Arabidopsis thaliana: one gene and its partner. The protein of the gene in region 1 purifies or fractionates together with the protein of each later gene. This does not show direct contact. Each region holds a gene or a part of one and is shown on either strand. Other genes may lie near its edges.

The links.
Region 2: the proteins of CTR1 (region 1) and EIN4 purify together in Arabidopsis thaliana (affinity purification with western blotting, with the first as the bait; one study listed by BioGRID). This does not show direct contact.

What each region holds. Positions count from the first base shown.
Region 1 is NC_003076.8:973,857-981,423, forward strand, and holds CTR1 (Protein kinase superfamily protein), read right to left. Parts: upstream 5,994-7,567; 5' UTR 5,805-5,993; coding exon 5,157-5,804; intron 4,982-5,156; coding exon 4,680-4,981; intron 4,583-4,679; coding exon 4,441-4,582; intron 4,224-4,440; coding exon 4,120-4,223; intron 3,985-4,119; coding exon 3,779-3,984; intron 3,422-3,778; coding exon 3,146-3,421; intron 2,956-3,145; coding exon 2,915-2,955; intron 2,639-2,914; coding exon 2,570-2,638; intron 2,490-2,569; coding exon 2,389-2,489; intron 2,300-2,388; coding exon 2,215-2,299; intron 2,121-2,214; coding exon 2,022-2,120; intron 1,789-2,021; coding exon 1,720-1,788; intron 1,617-1,719; coding exon 1,485-1,616; intron 1,371-1,484; coding exon 1,276-1,370; intron 1,199-1,275; coding exon 1,102-1,198; 3' UTR 994-1,101; exon of another isoform or gene 853-993; 3' UTR 504-852; downstream 1-503. UniProt on the Arabidopsis thaliana protein: Acts as a negative regulator in the ethylene response pathway. Phosphorylates the cytosolic C-terminal domain of EIN2, preventing the signaling in the absence of ethylene.
Region 2 is NC_003074.8:1,234,676-1,240,223, reverse strand, and holds EIN4 (Signal transduction histidine kinase, hybrid-type, ethylene sensor), read left to right. Parts: upstream 1-1,607; 5' UTR 1,608-2,258; coding exon 2,259-4,019; intron 4,020-4,108; coding exon 4,109-4,648; 3' UTR 4,649-5,015; downstream 5,016-5,548. Other genes in the region: AT3G04590 (AT hook motif DNA-binding family protein), read left to right, coding at 78-230, 372-717, 921-979.

The sequences.
Region 1 (7,567 bases):
ATAGAGAGGCGGTGGAAATGGGTGGGTCAGTTCCCGCCACCGTGGATTTATCTTTTTCGTCATCATGTTCCATTGATTCATCAGTTTAGAAGAAATTTGGAAACTTTAGTGACAAATAATTGTACAACCGACATTGAAATTGAAAGTTGTTTCCTTGCAGCTTCACTTAGCTCTCTCTCTCTGTGATTTGGTGAAGGAGAGAAAGTGGTGACGATGGTGGGTCCCACGTCATCTTGAGATTTTTGAAAGGAGGAGTGATTTAGCGCGTTTGCCAGGTCAGCTTTCTAATTTGGAACTGGGCCCTCACAAATCACTGATTCGCTTTTCGTGTTTCCTTTTTCAGAATTTAATATTGTATAATTTTGATTTACGCAATCCTATTGGTTACCGATCCATCAAACGATTAATTCGGAAGACAGGTAAAGTCGTTTTCAAGTGTGGGAACTTACTTAGACGCGAAGGCAAAAATAGTTGACTATGTATCTAGATATTTTCAGTCCCAATGCGTTTTTAACGATTTGGGATTATATTCATCTGTATTAGAGTCTCCGAAAGTTACAGTCTTATTTCATTTCTGTTGGTTTATAGTCCAGACTAATCGCACAGTGAACAAATGTAAATCCAATGAATCATATTGAGTTTGCAAAACCCTTTGACAGCATTTACCAGCTGCTCTTTTTTACCTTCGCTTAGTAACTAATTTAGCGGTATAAATGTACAGCAATGTAATTAAATATAGCTTTCAGTGCATTGCTACAAAGACATAACAACAAAATATTGCTTACCCTTTGGGACTAGATAGATAGATTATATCCCTCACATTGTTTCCATTACTACATTTTTTTTTCCTCCCTGTGACAATAGTCATGTACATTTTAACAATCTGCAACATTAAAAAGGGAACAAAACAGCAGACAAAGATCGCAAAAATAATACATGTATAAAAACCATGGGATTCTGTAGGATATGATTGATAGCTCATGAGGAATGTACCTTTAAAGCTATATCTTAACTAGTGTCTCCCTCCTGGGCAGCAAAAGAATGCTGAGAGTATATGTGCATATCATGATTATAACAACTTTTGAATGGACCGGGGGTATTTTACAAATCCGAGCGGTTGGGCGGAGGAACCGCTGATTTGATCAATGGTCTTAGCAAGTCCATTATAGTTGCAAATGATGGACGCTTCCATGGCTCACTGGTAATGAAACACATACATAAACATGAAGTCTATTCAAGAAGAATTCAAAAAAGAGATAGAAAATCTTAACGTACTTGGTCCAACAACCCTCGATTATGGCTGCAACCTGAGGATTCAGATTACGCGGGATCTCCAGCCGTTTACACTTGAAACCAACCGCAGCTACAACCTATGGAACATTTTTTTGTATGATCATATATAGCATGTTATGAAATGTAGAGTGAGGGACTTCCAAATGCAAAATAATATCATTATTATTTGAGATGTTTAGAGTGGAAAGTACCTGAGCCGGATTTAAGTTACCCCATGGTTGTTGCAATGTAGCAAGCTCCCACAAGATGACCCCGAAGCTGTACACATCTGACTTTTCATTAGACGGCTCATCTCGCAGGACTTCTGGTGCCATCCACTCGGGCTGATATATCAAAGTCAGTAATTATTTAGCTTCCATTGGAAATAGGACCTAGAAGAAAGTTACGTTGTTCAGCGTGTTTTAGTTTCAAACAAACTGAACTTACGGTTCCAGCTGCTGACTTCGAGGAAAGAAACGTGCTGGCCTTCAATCGCGAGAGACCAAAATCACAAACCTGAAATTTCAAGACAAATTGAGGAGTTAGAATAATAATGTTCTGATTGTTTTTAAGACGACAGCTTGAGGCTGCTGTATCTTTTAAGTTTCAGCAGATTAACGCCTTTTTGTAATGTCTCCAAACCAATTTAGAATTAAAAATCATAATTTATATATAAGCTTGTCTCACAAGAGGAATAAAATATCAAAATCAAAACATTGGACACAACAATTTCTAATTTAGATTCAAACCTTGACTGTATATTTTTTGTCAACCAATAAGTTTGGAGATTTTAGATCTCTATGCACAATTGGAGGATTGCGATTGTGAAGATAATTCATTCCCTTAGCCTGTGACAGAGAATTGGAAAGAAAGTTCCATGTGAAGAAACACCAAGATCAGGAAGTAATCACCCATACATGTAACATAAGGAATTAAACATACCACATCATAAGCCATACTCAGGCGACGTCTCTCATCTAATTGCTCCCTTGCTCCACTTTTATGCAAAAGTCTGTATAAACTACCTCTGTTTGAAAGAAATCATGGTATTAGAGTCATTATAGGCCAAAATTCTACACTCAGTACATCAAACCTTCCAAATCCAAGTAATTGTACCTTGACAAATATTCTGTCACTATTGACAAATTTGGAGGTTGAGTGACCGCACCCATGAAGAGAACAATGTTAGGGTGGCGAAGGCGTTTCATTATCGCAACCTGACAGCGAATCAAGATCATTGGAGACATTAATACAACAAGTTCATTACCAAAATCAAGAGAAAATTTTATTTGTGCACCTCTCTTAAGAACTCATTAACACGCTCAGCATGGAAGTCTTGCTCCATGAGAATTTTCACAGCAACATCCTGAAATTGATAGAGAATATTACTGCAATAATCAAAATTAGAATTCTTCTAGTGATAGAATTGTAAAATTCAAACAGGAAGACAAATTTATGATATAAAGACACATATACATCTAAAATGGGACACCTTTTGTCCGTGTTTAATTTCTGACAGAACGGAGAGTCACATATACAATAACTTTGCCTTTTATAATACCAAGCAGATCCAAAAGTCACAACCAAATTTTTAGAGCGAAAAAAAATTCAGCTGCGTAAATTCTGACAAAAAAGTTCTTACCGAGCCATGCCACTCAGCACGGTGGACAGTGCCAAAGGAACCTGAAAGAGCAGTCGCTCAAATTAGAGTGGAAGAATTAAAGGCAACAGAGAAGAATGTAATCTCAAAATGGGTGGCACTTTTTCCTTATTTTGTTCGAGAACAGAGTCCAAAGCAAAACCACTTCCTCAAGAATTTCATATTTCTTTGCATTTTTAGACCGAATCATTAATTTTTCCGTAAAATTATTACCTGCTCCAATCTTTTCTTTTATATTAAGATCACACCACGGGATGTCCATATCATCACCATCAAGTCCAAGTTCCCTATTTGCCCTGTTTGGAACTGGCTGACTGATTGGTGGGGCATTCATAGGTGCTGCTTCAATTTGATTTGACGCACGCATCATGTTCTGTGGAGGCATATTAGCACTGGGTGGCAAAGACCCACCACCATTTTCTGCCAATGCGTCATTCTCTCCACCCGGATTATCATATTGCCTATGAAACATTGAGAATCCCATATCATCTACAACCATTCAAACAAGCAGATATAAGAAATTAGAGTCCAGAAGACAAGTCTTGCACATAAATGCACTAGAATTCATAAGCTTGAACAGCAGACTAACAAGTTTAACCTTAAATATCATTAGGCAAAGAACCCACCAACAAACATACACATCAACAGCCAAAAACAACTAAAGTGAAAAGAGACAAGAAAACAAACAATAGAATCATTCTAAGACTACTAACACTTCAGATACTGAGACATGATCAAGAAATACCCTAAATGATAGGAGATTACTCTTTTAGGGGAAATACAAAACGAGATGTAAGCAGCATGCAAAAAGTTAACATATTATTCAGGTTTTTTGTATGGGAATACCTGATGCAGGATCGAAAACAAGATTAAGAGACTGGCTATCGGAGAAATATTGTTTGGCTAGTAACCTAAAATCGACTGCGGGTTCAACTGGCTTTGGTCGTGGAAACCGCAGAGGAGAAGAAATTGAGATAGATGAAGGACCATTTAGCAAGGAATCAGGCTCCCATAAGTGACCTGGCTTTCCTACTAAATCAACCAGGTACTCCCTGAAACCAAAACAAATTTTCCACGTCATCAACCTAATATTCTGCGAAACATTTGGAGCTATAATTGTTTTTCCAGAAACAAAAAGCAAAGAAAATAGGAAAATAAAGGCTCTTTCGCAATCACTTGTATCATACCTATCAAGCCCAAACCTGACAAGGCACGAAGCGGCATCGTCTCTATTACAATATTTACATCCTTTGGCAATTCGACAGGGTAAATCAATTATGTCAGCCAGTACCTGCATGCACCAAATAGAAGATATAAAATACTTTTTTTCTTTGGAACATTCAACTATCAGTAACCTATTTTTTTCTAATCAATAACACCACTTTTCACATTCAACGTTCTTCATATGTATTCCAATAAAAACAAATGGATGAAGCACAATAATTTATATGATCATTTCACAAGATGTCTTAAATGTCATGGGGATAGCATCAAAGTTGGGATCTCACTTTGAAGAGTAAAGCTCGATGTCTGCAGAGTCCAACAGAGAGGCTACCTATGGGAACCACCACTTTAAAGATTTCTTTTAGACCATCAATGCACTCCTTCCACATGGGAACCAACTCATCTTCCCCCATGATAACTGGACCCCTGGGGAAGCAAGAATTAACGAGTACAATGTGAGAAATCACAGGAAGATATAAAAATATAAGTTCAAAGGGATAGTAAGGATTGTATGAGTACAAACCCCATACGATTGCAGATAAGCTTTGCCAGCTGATCAACAACCTCTTTTGTGGTAATGCAGCTACAAGATATGTCGTGGACTCTATTGTGAAGTTCCTTGAAGGCTGGATCACTACGCCTATCAACTATGATCGCTTCAAGCGAAGAATCAACACCAGAATCAACAGCTCTTAATGATTCAATTGAAGGGATGCGACCACTTTCATGCAGGTCGATGCATAAGGTCCAAATATAGGGATCCAGACCATTCATCATATAAAACCCATCAGGAACTTTATCATAGTACGATAAGCAGCCATTAACCTGATGCAGCACACAAAACAATCATACTCTGCAATGTATCTAAACAACATATCTCATTTGCTACTAATAGACTTTTGGTAAGGAGATCTAACTGAAACTTCGGAAACAAGAGGACCATATCTCTATAACCACGATTCAATAATTTTGGGAAACAAAGCTTAACAGGAACAAATACCCAGAAACGATGTGAAACGGTTTCGGCTGAACTTGGCGAAGTCCGTAAAGCAGACTCGTCCGGTACAGGATCCAGAAAGTTCGGATCGTCGGCACAAGTAGCCTCCGACGAAAGCCTTAACGCCAATGCAAGCTGCAGCTGATAACTCTCCTCCGTCTGCTGCGCCCAGCTCTTCCCAGATGAAGACCCTCCAGCGGAGTCCGCCGCCATCTGTATCCTCAAATCTCCTCCACCACCACCAAATCCAAGCCTAAACCCATCATCTTGAGGAAATCCAACAGATTCGATCTCGTTAGCCGCCGCAGAAAGCGTAGGCATGTAATAATCCCCAGACAAAGAGCTCTCACCGAAACTACTCCCACTGGATTGCCTTTGCAACCCTAGAGACGAAGCATACATATTATTCCCAACCCGATTCGGTTGATTATTCAACCTATGATCACCACCACCACCACCGCTAGGATCCCAATCAAATCCGCCTCTCTCCGCCTTAGCTTTCCCGGTGTTCCCGCTGTTATGGTTGCTCCTGTTTTCGCTCGACAAGGAATCATAGTGAGGCGGAGGAGCTCCGGTGACGGAAACTGACACCTGATCGTCAGAAAATTGACTAAGCAAAGTGTAATTAGATCTTCTACCGGGCATTTCCATGGAAAAGAGAGTTATCGCGATCTAGATGAGAGAGTTTCCCGATCATATAAACATCAAACCCTAGGAAACCGCCATTGTTGAAGAAGTTTGGCGAGCTAGCTAGCCACTTGTTTCTCTCTCTAGTTTTTCATTTTTTTTTTGTACTTTTTAAAAAAGTCTCTCTCTCTCTCTCTCTCTCTCTCTCTCTCTAATGGAATTGGATTTTTTTTTTGTTTTTGCGTTATCATAGGAAATAAACTTACTCGGTGCGTTTCTGTTGATAATTTCGTTATATTCCTCTTTTGTCCTCCTTTTTATGGAACTTTGACATTTTTTTTATTTTTTGTCAAAACAATTCTCCAATTTAGTTTGTTTTTTAGTGTATTATTATTTGTCTAATTTTTGTATTCGACTATGATATCTATTCATATGTTTTGTGCTAATTTAATCGCTAATAAAACTGTTTAAACAATTAATTTGGTATTTCATATTTTGGTGATAAGCAACTGAAATTGGAAGATAAAAAGTAGTATCGTAGTGAAAGTAGAAAACGCAAAGCTAAAAGAGGAACATACACAGTGTAAAATACTAAACCATCTTGCCTATCAAATCCAAATACTATCAAATTTGATCTTTTACACCAATCTGAATCCGTAACATTGGATCCAAGTTTCGTATACCTAAACATGAAATTTTCATTCGGCTCTACGTAGTCTAAAAAACTCGACATAAAATAAATAAAAAGCCTTTATAACGTCCACAATATTTAGAATAGAAAGTGAGAGAATGGACTATAATAAAATAATTGGAGTCGAGGGGGATGTATTCGTGTATGCGAAAATGGATGGGCTCTTCTGTCTTTATATTCCTTAATTTGTCTATTCAAACACATTCGTATTTCTGGTCTTCGGCCTGCGACTTCTATACCATGCATGCATCTTATCTCTCTCTTTTTTTTTTTTTTTCGTTTTCTTTTCTACTTCTCCATTTTTTTTTAATTTGGTTATTTTTATTGCCTTTATGTTTTTTGTGTATTATATATAAATGAACTAATAATACTTCATTATGTTTCGTGTTATTATAAGTGAATTTTTCACAACCATTACAAAAAATTATCTTTTGCTTAAAAGTTAACTTTGGATTATAGTACTTCATAAAAATGTAAAGATTTTGATCAAGTACTTATCAACGCAGCTTGGGTAGTCAATGTGCTGTCATTAATTTATCTATCAAGCTATCCACGCAGCTTGGACAATAAATAAATATTTAAATTCTATTGCATATTTATATCATTTGATCCGCTAAGGTTCATCGAATACTGCCAGGTTCATTGCACTCAACGCATTTTTGTCATTAACTTACGTTTTTTAGCCATGGCTGCTGAGAATATAAAGTTGCTACTATGTAAAGAAACTTTTGGGTTTGATCATATTTGTGCACAAAAAAAAATAAAAAAAAAATCATACTTTTAAAACTAGTATTAATCCAAAAAGTGCTAAAACATAACAAAAAAAAATTCTCCTTAACTACTATACAAACATATATTTTTTTATGCGCATAAATTAAAACTTAACAATTGATTATGATCACATATGTTGAAAAAAATCGAAATTATGTGTGATATGTAAAACCGGAGTATAATATTGGTAAACTATAAATTTAAGAGCATTGGAAAATGTTCATGATTCATGCCGAGAACTCTTCTAAATCTAAACACGAGAGGCCCCGAATAGATCTAACTAAAATGAATTGTGTTTAATATAATAATAGTGTTCCTTAATTCT
Region 2 (5,548 bases), on another chromosome or scaffold:
ATTCTTAATTCAGATACTTTCTTTGAAGTTTGCATATCATTGTTAAACTTGCCTCAAATTTCAAAAAATTTATTCAGGGTCAATACGAGATTCTCTCACTATCTGGATCCTATATCCGAACTGAACAAGGTGGTAAATCCGGCGGCCTTAGCGTTTCTTTATCTGCTTCAGATGGTCAGATCATCGGTGGAGCGATTGGTAGCCATCTCACAGCTGCTGGCCCGGTTCAGGTACAATTCTGTTGTATCATAGTTTCAACTTGCATATATTGAAACATTGTTATTGTTTCCAACCATCTTACACAAAACTGATCATTTCCTAAGATAGGAGGTCTGGCTTTGATTGATCGCCTTAGATTTGTGCAAATGCAGGTGATTCTTGGTACGTTTCAGCTTGATAGAAAGAAGGATGCCGCCGGGAGTGGTGGGAAAGGGGATGCTTCAAACAGTGGAAGTCGGTTAACTTCTCCTGTAAGCTCTGGACAGTTGCTTGGCATGGGTTTCCCTCCTGGTATGGAATCTACGGGAAGAAATCCAATGAGGGGAAACGACGAGCAACATGATCATCATCATCATCAAGCCGGTTTGGGTGGACCTCATCATTTCATGATGCAAGCGCCGCAGGGGATACACATGACACATTCCAGGCCATCTGAATGGCGCGGAGGAGGCAACAGCGGTCATGATGGCAGAGGCGGTGGCGGGTATGATTTGTCAGGTAACAAAAAAGCTCAAAACTTCTCGAAAGATGTCATCTTTCTTCATCAAAGTTCAAACCCTTAAATCCAAACAAGGACAGATTAGAATTGCTATGGAGATTGGTGGAAATTAGTATTTTGTAGAGTTCTAGAAGATTACAGGCTAAAGCTCTTCTCCGTTGTGGCAATGGCTTGAAACGCTGATGGATGTAATCTTGTGCAGGAAGGATAGGACATGAGTCGTCGGAGAATGGAGATTACGAGCAGCAAATACCGGATTAGCAGAGCTTCCAGGAGAAGTGTGTAGAGTTTAGATCCCAAGTAGAGAAACAGAAGGCGAGCAAAGAATCTGAACTGAGAGAGGACTTATTAGACAGAGACTCGTCTGAAGGGTCTTTAATCATAGAAAGAAGTTGCTGAGTGATTGCTTTTGTTCTTCTTCTTGGTACGGTGTATTATATTAACTCCACAACCTTTTTTTTATACTTTCAGTAACGATTCTCCTTCACTTTCAATTTCATTCCTTTTTTTTATACTCTTTTTCTTTTCTTATAATATTTTTTTTGGTTTTTCTTTCGTTTGTTACTAAAAAAGGAAATGCTCTTTTTGTGAAATATATACACTTCGTTTGTTCGGTTTCTACTTATGTTAATTATTCATAACCTATCTTAATTTAGTAAACGGTTCCTATGAGCCGTTACTTGGACCAAAACATTAACTCATTTGACGAAGAACAAAAAAACTCATTTGAGAATTCTGTTTATTTATTCATATTAATATTGATTTAGTTTAAAATTCTTGGTAACTTTATGTCAAGTTGTCAACTTGTAAATTTCTTGATTGATAATGTTGGAATGCTATAACTTATGTGAAGCCAAAAATTACTGTTAAAAATTCTTATCTTTAATGGGAATTTTTTGTTGACATCTAAGCTTAAAGTGAAACACCACCATTTTTATGGACTTGAGCAACTCTCCGGAAATTGCTTAAGCGAAAAGTCTGCTGCTTTTGTCTTAAAAAAACTTTGAATATTGTTGACTCAAGTCTGAAAATCCGCAACTGAAACTCCCGGAAAAGATCTGCCACCACCGGACCAACTCGGTTTCTTCTCTTTTCTAATCACTTCTTCTGTTTCTCCAACTTCTGTGAAAAAGATGTCAGATTGACTCGATTTCGTTGCTACAAATGGAGATGGGTCTTTCTTATTTATCTTACTAGATTCGAGAGGTGTGTTCTTTCTCTATTCTATTGGCTTGAATCTTAGCTTTCGTTTTTCTCTGATTACCTTCCCCTGGAATTTAAAAAAAAAAAACTCAAAGGCGGTTTCTTTTCTCAGTACTACGAATATCGAGGAACATAGATCTTGATTCCTTTGCCTTCTTCTGGGTATGCGTGTTTGGAGTTGTTTAATCTCATTGGTCTCTACGCGTTGTGGAAATCTATGAATACCAAGTCAGTTATGTTTAATTGGTTCATTGGATCTCAACTTGTAGAGAGCCTCAAGATTGTGGCTGGATTTGATTAGGGTTTTAGATAGAGAGATTAAAGATTGGATCAGAAGATGTTAAGATCTTTAGGTCTTGGATTGCTTCTGTTTGCTCTTCTTGCTCTGGTTTCTGGTGATAACGATTACGTGAGCTGTAATTGTGACGACGAAGGTTTCTTAAGTGTCCACACCATCTTAGAATGTCAAAGAGTGAGTGATCTCTTAATAGCCATTGCCTATTTCTCAATACCTCTCGAGCTTCTCTACTTCATTAGCTTCTCCAATGTTCCTTTCAAATGGGTTCTTGTTCAATTCATTGCCTTTATTGTCCTATGTGGAATGACTCATTTGCTTAACGCTTGGACGTATTACGGACCACACTCTTTCCAGCTTATGCTTTGGCTTACCATCTTTAAATTCCTCACGGCGCTTGTCTCGTGTGCCACGGCTATCACGCTCTTGACTTTGATTCCGTTGCTGTTGAAATGGAAAGTTAGAGAGCTTTACTTGAAGCAGAATGTGTTGGAGCTTAATGAAGAGGTTGGATTGATGAAGAGGCAGAAGGAAATGAGTGTGCAGGTGAGAATGCTTACTCGGGAGATCAGGAAATCGCTCGATAAGCATATGATTCTGCGGACTACTCTCGTTGAGCTATCCAAGATTCTTGATTTACAGAACTCTGCTGTTTGGATGCCTAACGAGAACAGAACCGAGATGCATTTGACTCATGAGCTTAGAGCGAATCCGATGAGGAGTTTCAGGGTAATCCCGATTAATGATCCCGATGTTGTTCAGGTTAGGGAGACCAAAGTAGTGACAATTTTGAGGAAAAACTCTGTTCTTGCGGTTGAGAGCAGTGGTTGTGGCGGTTCGGAAGAGTTTGGACCGGTTGCTGCAATTCGGATGCCGATGCTTCACGGATTGAATTTCAAAGGAGGCACTCCCGAGTTTGTGGATACTCCTTATGCTATAATGGTTTTGGTACTTCCGAGTGCGAATTCACGGGTTTGGACCGATAAAGAGATCGAGATAGCGGAAGTTGTTGCTGATCAAGTAGCGGTTGCTATCTCTCATGCCTCAGTTCTTGAAGAATCACAGTTAATGAGAGAAAAACTCGGTATTCAAAACCGAGCTTTACTTCGAGCAAAACAGAACGCGATGATGGCAAGTCAAGCGAGGAACACTTGCCAGAAAGTGATGAGTCATGGAATGAGGAGACCAATGCACACAATTCTTGGTCTACTCTCCATGTTTCAGTCCGAAAGTATGAGTCTTGACCAGAAAATCATCGTTGATGCGCTCATGAAAACAAGCACAGTTCTCTCAGCTTTAATCAACGACGTGATTGACATTTCGCCTAAAGATAACGGGAAATCTGCATTAGAGGTTAAACGGTTCCAGCTACATTCCTTGATAAGAGAAGCCGCTTGTGTTGCTAAATGCTTAAGCGTTTACAAAGGTTACGGTTTTGAGATGGATGTTCAAACGCGGTTGCCTAATTTAGTAGTAGGAGATGAAAAGAGAACGTTTCAGCTTGTGATGTATATGCTTGGGTATATCTTGGATATGACTGATGGAGGCAAAACCGTTACGTTCCGAGTTATCTGTGAAGGTACTGGAACAAGTCAGGACAAGAGCAAAAGAGAAACTGGAATGTGGAAGTCCCATATGTCCGATGATTCCCTCGGTGTGAAATTTGAAGTTGAGATTAATGAGATTCAGAATCCTCCATTGGATGGTTCGGCTATGGCTATGAGACATATTCCGAACAGAAGATATCATAGCAATGGGATTAAGGAAGGCTTGAGCTTAGGCATGTGTAGAAAACTTGCACAGGTTAGTGATCTCATCATGTCTCTGTTTCTGTTTGGTATATAGAGATTCTAATTATAAACAGTGTATTTGATTTGAAATTTGTTTTGCAGATGATGCAAGGAAACATATGGATATCACCTAAATCGCATGGACAAACACAGAGTATGCAATTAGTTCTGAGGTTTCAGACAAGACCATCGATTAGGAGATCAATCTTAGCAGGAAATGCTCCAGAGCTTCAACATCCGAATTCAAATTCCATTCTTCGTGGTCTAAGAATCACTCTAGCAGACGATGATGATGTCAACAGAACCGTGACTAAGAGACTTCTTGAGAAACTCGGCTGCGAAGTAACTGCTGTCTCGTCTGGATTTGAGTGTTTGAATGCGTTGTCAAATGTGGAAATGTCGTATAGAGTTGTGATTTTGGATCTGCAGATGCCGGAGATGGATGGTTTCGAAGTAGCAATGAAGATAAGGAAGTTTTGTGGACATCATTGGCCATTGATTATAGCTTTGACTGCTAGTACTGAAGATCATGTTAGGGAAAGATGTTTGCAAATGGGGATGAATGGTATGATCCAGAAACCGGTTCTTTTGCATGTTATGGCTTCTGAGCTTAGACGGGCTTTGCAGACCGCGAGCGAGTGATTCGAGCTCAGAGAAGGAAGCAGATATCAATGAATCTTGAAAAGCAAAAATCTTGAAACGAAGAAAAGCAGAGTGAGGATTCTTTGAAGATGTGAAGCATAGAGACACCTCTCTGGGGAAATGTTTTTGTTGTTGTTGTTGTCTCGGTTCTACAGTGATGAGAATTGAGTCAGTTTTCTCTATTTAGCCTAGTTTGGAGATTGGTTGGTTCGAAACTATTTATACGTAATGATTTCGCATTTTTAGCGAAAAAATAACATAAGTTTATTAGATTTAATAATAATTAATTTTATAATTTTGTCTTGAGTAAATTCTCTCTGAATATTTATACAATTCTTTTTTTGCATCTCATTATTAAATTCATCATATTTTGTCAAAATTCATCGCTTGTATTCTCTAATCTATTGCTCTAACTTTTTATTCTTTGTTTACTATTTTTTGACATTTTTTATTTAGTTTTACTATTCAGACTGAATGTTTCAAGCATTGTATATTTTGGACATTTCTTTGTCAACCAAAAAGAAATAATATTGTATCAAATCAAATGAAATTTATTAATTATTTATTTTTTGTCAATGTAATTTAGTTAGTATTTTATCAAATGTATTTTTTGTTTGTTTTTTGATATAAACAAAAAGTCTATTTAAAAATACTTTTTTTGACGGCAAAAACTTTATTTGACAGCAAAAACGTTTTTTTCTTAAAGACTAAAGTTTAGACCAGACCACCACACCAAACGTTTGATTGCTAAATGTTAGTATCTATACGAACACCAAAGTTAATGTTATTTAATGCTTTGTGTAGTCTTAAGAACGAACATCACGTAACGCTATAAATTATGTTCGACATATCGATGTTCGAATTTTTTAAAATGTACTTATTTGGATTGGATATTAACAA